Linked DNA regions of Drosophila melanogaster. The protein of the gene in region 1 interacts with the protein of each later gene in a biochemical or structural test. Each region holds a gene or a part of one and is shown on either strand. Other genes may lie near its edges.

Evidence for each region.
Region 2: the proteins of SF2 (region 1) and tra interact in far-western blotting, tested with the Drosophila melanogaster proteins (one study listed by BioGRID).

The regions. Positions count from the first base shown.
Region 1 is NT_033777.3:16,338,443-16,344,186, reverse strand, and holds SF2 (splicing factor 2), read left to right. Parts: upstream 1-2,198; 5' UTR 2,199-2,295; coding exon 2,296-2,459; intron 2,460-2,588; coding exon 2,589-2,958; intron 2,959-3,240; coding exon 3,241-3,365; intron 3,366-3,424; coding exon 3,425-3,533; 3' UTR 3,534-5,244; downstream 5,245-5,744. Other genes in the region: pad (poils au dos), read right to left, coding at 1-1,143, 1,199-1,581, 1,641-1,793.
Region 2 is NT_037436.4:16,589,559-16,592,776, forward strand, and holds tra (transformer), read right to left. Parts: upstream 1,493-3,218; 5' UTR 1,486-1,492; coding exon 1,446-1,485; intron 1,373-1,445; coding exon of another isoform or gene 1,302-1,372; exon of another isoform or gene 1,198-1,301; coding exon 794-1,197; intron 737-793; coding exon 587-736; 3' UTR 501-586; downstream 1-500. Other genes in the region: l(3)73Ah (lethal (3) 73Ah), read left to right, coding at 91-216; spd-2 (spindle defective 2), read right to left, coding at 1,846-3,218. UniProt on the Drosophila melanogaster protein: Member of the regulatory pathway controlling female somatic sexual differentiation, regulated by Sxl. Activates dsx female-specific splicing by promoting the formation of a splicing enhancer complex which consists of tra, tra2 and sr proteins.

The DNA.
Region 1 (5,744 bases):
GGGGCGCCTGACGCAGAGAGTCCTGCGGTCTGCTGTTGCTTCACCTGCGGTTGTGGCTTTGTCTGGGTTATCAATCGCTTGAACTCGTTGGTGGACGTGCCATTGCTTCCACCTGAGGACGGCCCCACAGTAGTTTTGCTCTTTGGCGATGGCATCGGTTTTTGCTTTGGAGAAGGCGTTTTAAAAGTGGGGGCTTTCTTGCTGCTAGTGGGCGTGGTGGGAGTCGGTGGAATATTGGTCACATTCCGTATCACCAACTGCGAATTGGTGGTGCTGGTATGTGGAGATCTAATAATTTGCTGAGAGGTCACTTGTGCCGTATTTGGAAGTTGGGTAAGCGGTTGTTGCGGCGCCAGAAATTGATTTTGCGTCACCGTAGTGCCCTGGAAGGCGCTTCCTGGATTGCCCAATGTTTGCGGTGTCAGTTGCAGAGTAGCCGGAATTGATGTTGGTGTCAGCTGCATGATTGGCTGGCCATCCGCAGTGGCCAGCTGAGGCTGAAGTTTCATCTGTACTTGGTATGTCGTGGGCAACACTAGGTTCTTGGTGTCTATGTGCGCCACGATCTGCTGATCCGAATTCTCGTCCCGAATGGTGATAGGCAGAAAGCACTTGTTTGGTGACAGCAGGTTGGTTGTCGACTGCGGACCCGCCAGGCTGGAGAGCAGGGCAGCAGCATTTAGCTGCGTCTGGGCAGGAACTGTCCCTGCACTTGTCACTCCTCCGCTACCTGGCATCAACTGCAGCTGTATTTGCGGCTGACTGCCACCGAATTGCGGCATTGAAGTGGTGAACTGGGGCGCTGTAGGCGAAGAGAGCACAAAGTTCAACTTTGGCTTTTTACTGTCGCCAGAACTTGACGTATCATCCTGAGCGACGGAGTACTGTGTGGTAGCCTGCAGCTGGTTGGTCAGTTGCTGTAGTTGTTGCTGAAGCTGAAGTTGTTGAATCTGCTGCCACAAAGGCTGCAGTTGATCGCCTAGCTGCGGTTGTAACTGCAACTGAGTAGGGTTTATGGTAGGCGTTACTGTCTGGGACTGCAGAGAATGTTGCTGCTGGGGCTTGGCAGGCGATATGGGCTCCTTTTTCCCCAGCGGCGTTATCTTGATGTCAGGCTTGAGGCGTATAAACTCTTCCAAAGCACTAAGTGGATAGAATGTTATTGAGATGATTTTCATGAAAGTGAATTCCCACTCACGTCTGTCTTTCGCTTTTTATTTGAACTTCCGGCATAGCTTGATGCTGCTGCTGCTGCTGCTGTACCCCGTTGTCCATCGTTATGGTGTACTGCTGCTGGGGCTGCATGTTTACCGCCTGGATTATGCTGTTCAAGAGATTTCCGGACTGCTGAGCTCCATTAGGAACTGGTGGAGCTGACTGCGCCACACTGAGGCTCTTCCCAGTTTCATCGACCGCATCCCGAATGTATAGCTTGTCGCTGCTTGGCGCCGGGCGAATATTGAGACAGTTGTTTAGCATGGTCTGTGAGTTACGGCAAGTGGCGCGAAGTCCGTGGATTTGCTCCACCAACTGCACACACTGGGCGCACACCACTTTGGGCAAGCGATCCTTTTCATCGATCTGCAAGAAGTATGGGTTTGTTAGCCAAAAGTAATGGGAGATTGATGCACTAGCACGACCTGCAGTGAGAGACACTCGAGTATCTTTTGGCTCAGATTCTTGGCGCGTCCCTCGGGTGAGTAGATGTTCGTCTTGTGATCGCTGCTGTCCGTGCAGATGCGACACAGGTCGTAGTAGTTAATGCAGCGAACGTTGCTTCCGGCCGCAGCCATTTTTCCGGTGGCTCAGTGGTTTTCGAAATGCTATTTATGTTTAGTGTATTGCACATGCAAATATTTGTTGTCTTTTCTTCGACTGAACGACGCTTAGTGGTGACACTGCGCGAATACATTGCAGCTCGGCGTGATTGGCAATAACTATCGGTAAATTATAATATAAATGAAAGGAACGACATTATGTTTACCCTGCCTTATAACCTTTAACCGAGGAAATTCCACAAACTTCTTAATTTATTTCATTCTAATAACTTATTCATTCTAATTCCCAACTAAGCGAAGTAAGTACTTACAGGGTAGCTATCGATATAAGCAACGAAACTTCCACCTATAGTTTCGTATCAACGTTATAATTATCGATAACTACTGTGCACCCAAGGGATTTACCCAACTCGAACTAACGGTCATACTGCGTCGGCCATTTGTCATTGTGAGCGTGACAAAAATAAGTTCTCTGAAAATCGAAATAGATCGAAGCGTCTGATTTAAACTGGAGAAAATGGGATCACGCAACGAGTGCCGTATATATGTGGGCAACCTTCCCCCAGATATACGCACCAAGGATATCCAGGACCTGTTCCACAAGTTCGGCAAAGTAACTTTCGTCGATCTGAAAAATCGGCGTGGGCCGCCATTTGCTTTTGTTGAGTTCGAAGATGCGCGGTGAGTAATGCGAATACACACAGCTGGCCCAGCGCCCCGGCTAAGACACCCAACTAATTCGCGACAACTGCTTCTCTTCCTTCCTTGACCATGGTCCATATCCTCCGGCTGCCTCTTGGCCCAATTTAGGGATGCCGACGATGCGGTGAAGGCGCGCGACGGCTACGACTACGATGGGTATCGTCTGCGCGTGGAGTTCCCGCGGGGCGGTGGTCCTGGAAGCTACCGCGGCGGCAACCGCAATGACCGAAGCCGCGACGGTGGGGGACGGATGGGCGGACGCGGACCGCCAGCCAAGCGCTCGCAGTACCGCGTCATGGTTACTGGACTGCCCGCCTCCGGATCGTGGCAAGATCTCAAGGATCACATGCGCGAGGCCGGCGACGTCTGCTTCGCGGACACTTACAAGGATGGTTCCGGCGTCGTTGAGTTCCTGCGCCACGAGGACATGAAGTACGCAATCAAAAAATTGGACGACTCTCGCTTCCGATCGCATGAGGTATGTAAATTGTCCAGTTCCAACTTTGTAAAATTCAAATGTATTCGGGTTTCAAGGTAGAGAATTTACTTTTGCATTTATTTTGTCAGCATACATTATTCACAGGCTGGAATAATTAAATATGATTTCAGGAATAACATTAAGTTATATTGGTGTAGATGCTTACACTTACGCCCTTAAATGTGTCAATTTGATAAACATCTAGTTCACATTCCTGTTTACATTTTGAAAAATAGTTTGGCGACATTATTCAAATGATATTAATATTTTTATTGTCTTTAGGGCGAGGTTGCCTACATTCGCGTACGCGAGGATAGCGGTGATAACGACAGAGGCGGTGGTGGTGGCGGCAGCGGTGGAGGTGGTGGCGGCAGCGGCGGAGGTGGAAGCCGTGACTACCGCGACAGGTAAACCAAATATTACCACAGTTCATTTTTCAATATTTATTCTATGAATCCCTCCACAGATCCCGTTCGCGCTCATTCTCGTCGAGGCCGCGCCGTCGTGGCACTCCCACATACTCCCCAGTGCGACGTCAATCTTATTCCAGGTCTCGCTCACGTTCTAACTATTAAACACAACCAAGCATTATCCATTAATCTATAATATTTTAATGAGCAGGAAACAGGAAAAGCAAGCTATATTAGGAAATACCAATCAATATTTGTTCAAGACCCCTCAAATACCCCAATTGTAAATTGATTTGTAAAATGAAATCAACGACCAATCAAGTTTGTTCAGTCAAGTTCCGAACTCTCACCGAAGCCAACATACTTAAAAAAGAAAAACACTTGCTTTTCCAACTTATCACACGTTCTAAGAAGCAGAAATGTTCTCTTAAGTTATAATCCACCGGGCAAAATTTGACAAAAACAGTTCTAAAATGACAACTGTAAACCAAGGAATTCTCTTTGGCCAAAAGCACTCGGCATTCCTTGATTTGCTTTTGATTATCTTTTGAGCCTTTGCTCAGTCTGCTTCCTACATATTATATTATAACTCTTATTTTGGCTGCACGTTTTCCAAGCTAATTTATTAGAATCTACCTTAACGAAAACAAGAAACATCGATACAGAATAAATATGTTTGTAATGAGATAAAGAAAAGAAACAGAAATCCGAACACAACGCAATGTCAACCACATTGATAAGCAAACTATTAATACTTTAATTTTTATTTTCTTCTCTTCCCCATTTTGCGCGTTTATGTTTGGAGAGTGATGAGGATGTGGAGGATGAGGATTAATGGATGTGGAGGAGGATATTTTGATGTTGATTTTGGCGTGGATTGGATAAATTTGGATTGAATTTAGTGGAGGCAGGACCTGTCTATAGATCTTATAAATATGAAAATATTTATTTGATTGTAATCAGGATTGGATTTGGATTTAGGATTGTTCTGAGCCCTTCGCTAGGACAACGTGGGATGCAGTGTCCCATGGCTAACTCGCACCTCGGAGGAGGAGGAGACAGGAATTTCGCATTGTTGAAGGATTTTATGTGTGAACTTTGGTCGTGTTCAGGTTAACGGATGTTTGGAGGAGGAGAATGTCGATGGCATCGTTGACGGTGAGGAACACTTGCGTTGCCCTTGGACAGGACTAAATCATACAGTTTCGGACTCGGCCGCATCTCTTCGAGCCTCGCCCCTTCTTCGGCATCTGCCTAACGGTCGGGATTAGGATTCGCTTGGACAGGCTCACACGCTTTGTTGTCGCCTTCTTTGGATCGCACTTCAGAAACTAGCTCACCCAGGGAACCGCGTATTTCGTGGCCTTCGCGCCCCTGTCGTTGTCATTTCACGGATTTGCTGTGCATCATCCAACGTTGACTTGCGCCCAACGCTGGATAGTGGATAGTGGTTCTTGGTCTGGTCCGATCCGATGCGTTCCGGTCTCCCTCTGTCTCGCCTCTCTGTGGTATGTTAGATTGCCACATCAAATTTAACTTTTAATTTGCGTTATTTAGTTTATAATTTATATACTCTTTACCCAAATCTTTCGTCTCCATTGATATTGTTGCCTCTGAAATGTGGCGATTGTCGCGTGTGCGTTTTGTTTTTCATTTTTTTTGAATAGAAGGGCGAAAATTCATAGGCCCCGACTATAGCCCACACCCGCATCATTTGCATGAACTTTCGTTAACCTAATAAAAAGTAATACCACAGCAATTTTGGAACAGAACAGTTCTCTCGTTCTCCTTGCTTATCGATCAACATATAAGCCATAGTTCTAACATATTTTTGAAATGAAATACACATTTACAATAAATATTCATAAAAATTAAGAAAAATGTCATGCTTTTAATACAACATTATAAGATGGGTGCAATCAAATACTTTTAGCAATTTATCTTGCTGAGATTATGAGCTTAAAATTAGACTGCTAGACTCGTGTAGCAGGTATTTGTGTTTATGGGATGTTCCTGTACTTATGAAGATTACAAATTAAGTTTGCTTGTATTATCTGCAGGAAAGACTTCTGTTCTGGATTTCACAACCTTTGCATTCCGAATCAATTTTAAACTTCCCGCTTATGGATTTTTACAGAGGACTGTTATTAGGGCAATGATGACCGTATTGTTTTAACGCAAAATACCAGATTTCTCTGTGCGAAAAACGATTTTTGGTCACTTTGCAGCACGGCCACACTGGCAAACAAACTATATAAGCAACACGCGCATTTTGTTGTTGGGTTTTTCAAAAAATATTCACCAGCTGTTCGGACGCGCGTGGGAACTGCTCTGTGTTTGTTGTTTTTTATAATTTCGAACGGAACGAACTGGTCG
Region 2 (3,218 bases), on another chromosome or scaffold:
AGTAACTGCTCTCAGTGAAAGCTCAGACTGGCTTAGTTACTTGTATACATGGCACATACTTATATGATAACTACGTATCTTATCTTTCAGATCGACATACTGTGCAACGAGGAGCTGCTCGGCAAGGATCACACGCTGAAGTTCGTCTACGTGACGCGCTGGCGCTTCCGGGATCCGCCGCTTCGGCTGCAGTTTCGTCCGCGGGTCGAGCTCTAACCACTGTTTTAGTATAATGCCACAACAAATGATCTATTTTTATAATTTATTGACAATGCGTAAATATCGTAATTAGGAGAGTCGCTAGTGTTAGTCCCCTCGAAACCATGAGTGTATGTGTAAATGTGCATGTATAAAGTCGTAAATATATGGTTATCCCTCCTAGAATTAAGTAACTTCCACTTCCTAACTCGTGTGACCCTTTTTTTGCCGCCTTCTTTGCTGCATTTGCTCATGATTTAATCAACGTTCTCCGTTTGCAATATTTTATGTTCTCCATTTTTAGTTTGAAATATATATGTATTTATTATTTTAATGTACAAAACACACGAATGTAAATAAATTTGTAATTATGTCGAATGGAGTATGTTCAATATGGGGGACGCCCCGCGTTTCTGTAGCCAAATCGCGGAACTCCAATGAACGGCGGTCGCTGGCGGTATCTGTAGGGGGCCGGTGGAAACGGCGGAGGACGTGGTAGCCTTTGGTATCCAAAACTTTGCTGCATACCAGACATCCCCTGCAAAATCGATTTAAGTTAGATTTGTTATTTGTTTCAATACAAATAACTACTAACGTAGAAATCCTGTGGTGGCACTTGCACATAGTAGTTGATGATCTTTGGCGGAGGATTATACCGATGCGGGCTCCGTTGACGGCGTCTTCGTTCACTGCTGCGACTTCGGCTATGTTGACGGCGTTTTCGTTCACTGCTGCGACTTCGGTTGCGATTGCGGCTCCTAGAGCGCTGGCGATGCCTTCTGTGCCTGCTCTCTCTGATGGACGACTGTGATCTGGATCTGGAGCGAGTGCGTCTGGTGGATTGGTGCGCTCTTTGGCGCAATCTTCTCAACCGATCCTGTTCTCGAACCTCGTCTGCAAAGTACGGAATCTTGTGCTCCTTCTTTCTGCTGTCCCTCTCGCTTGATCGCCCATGGTATTCTCTTTCTCGCCGGGATCGAGACCTTGAGCCACGGGAATCTATGTGAAAAGAGTGTGCGGTTAGTCAATGCATCTAACGCATAGTGTTTGGCGCATCGTCGGAGACGGAATCCACGTAATGCGCAGTTGAGAGTCCTATTGTCCTAGCTTCTCTTTCTCTGTCTGGTCGTCCAGCGTTCATTCTCATCCATTTCACATTTCACACAATATGACACTAGAAAAAAAACAACAAAAAGATGGCACTGGATCAGAATCTGATCAGATCGGTTATACTATATAGTGGGTACCTCGATGCTGGGTTCCACTGCTGTCGGCATCCATTTTCATCGGAAAATGCTGGAAATTAAATGATGCACTTTCCTCAGTGTGACCGTACTCGGCTTGCACCTTGCAATGTGCCCGCCAACTCACTTTTCGACGAACTATCGCTACATATACGTTACTTTTTGAATATTCGAGAGCAACATATCAAAATTTAAAATTAACTCATATACTTTATTAGTTTTTATTTAAGCTAAATTCAACTTTTAGGAAACAAGCGAGTATTTTAACTTTAGGGTTATGCGTTTTCCTTACAAATACTCTGCAAACACGGTTTCATTTCACAAGTACACAATACAATTTTTGTTTAAACTAACTACACAAACATAGGGAAAGCAGAATTAGCAGGCACAAATAAAACAAATTTTAAAATTTAAAACTAATCGGGACACTGATGCGCTCGTTTTCCATGGAGACCACAATGAGCGGCTCCCTTTCGAGCAAATCCTGCCTGGGTGAGCGGAGCAGGCGCACATCGATCTCCGCGTGGCCGCCATCCGGGGATACGTAGCACTCACTGGGACTGATTCGCACCAAATCGGGCACATTGCATGTGACCTCGATGAGCTGCCTGGAGCAGAAGCTGTTGGTTACGGACAAAGTGGCCAGTGGCGAACAGCCCACTCCGAATTCCAGCAAACCTGGCTGCACACACCAGTTTTGCTCGACGGGCGTCAACGTTGTGGTGTCCGCCTCCAATAGCTCATCCACTGGCTCCAATAGATGGCTCTGCGTTGGCGTCGGCGAATTGGCCACACATATGGTGCGGAATAGCACGGTTTCGTCGGCCTCCGGCAGGAACATCAGGGAACTCTCAGACGATTCATCAAAGTCCCGATTGAGGGTAAGCGCAACATCAATAATCCGCACTACTGTGACCAAGTCCAGAATAAACTCTGGCGGTTCGTTCAGCTGACCGATGTTGCGCACTGGCTGCTCGTCCGGAAATTCGCCCCAAATGCTGTCCAGCATCGGCGATGTGAGTTTCTCTCGCTGTCGGCTGCTCATCCTTTGGACCAAGCTACGCATACGCTGTCTGTTGGGCTCGTCTCCGCAGAAAATCCGCATATTGGCCAGGGTCAACACCTGTGCGGTCTTCTTAAGTATGTTCTTCAAGTCCTCACGATTCGGTCGGAAAAGTATCTGCACGCAGCGCTCGCTATTTGGCGGCAATATCAAGCGGCTCGGACGTACCTCGAAGGCCTCGCTGAGGCGCAGTTTCATGAGCACGGTGGAGTCCACTGATATACCAACGAAAGCGGTGAGAGGGCCCTTGTTGTGAAACTTGAGATTCGCCGAAAGCGGACCAGCGGACAGCTCGCATACATCGCCGATGGTAAGGAAACTGGCGCCCACCGGTCCCTTTAGCAGACCGTTTATGGTGATGGACGCACTGCCCCCGTAGCCGTACAACGGAATCTCTAGGCCCGGCTGGTTGCTGTTATGCGCTCCTGGTGGTGCATAGAAAGACAAGGCTCCGATGGCCGCTCCACAGACAGTGGGGCAAAAGTTGATCACTACCGAGCGGCATTCCATGGCTTGGAGTGTGATCGTGCTGCTGTCGGTGCCCACCAGCTGGAATCCGGGTCCCTGGATGCCAAGCCGAATGACCAGCCGTTTGTCCGCTGTGTTCTTAACCTGCATGGACTTACGCACATCTGTCCGCAGCTTTGTGCTTCCCCAACAGAGGGTCGTGTGGGTCACCTTTAGGGGGAGCAGTTTTCCATCGCGATGACTGA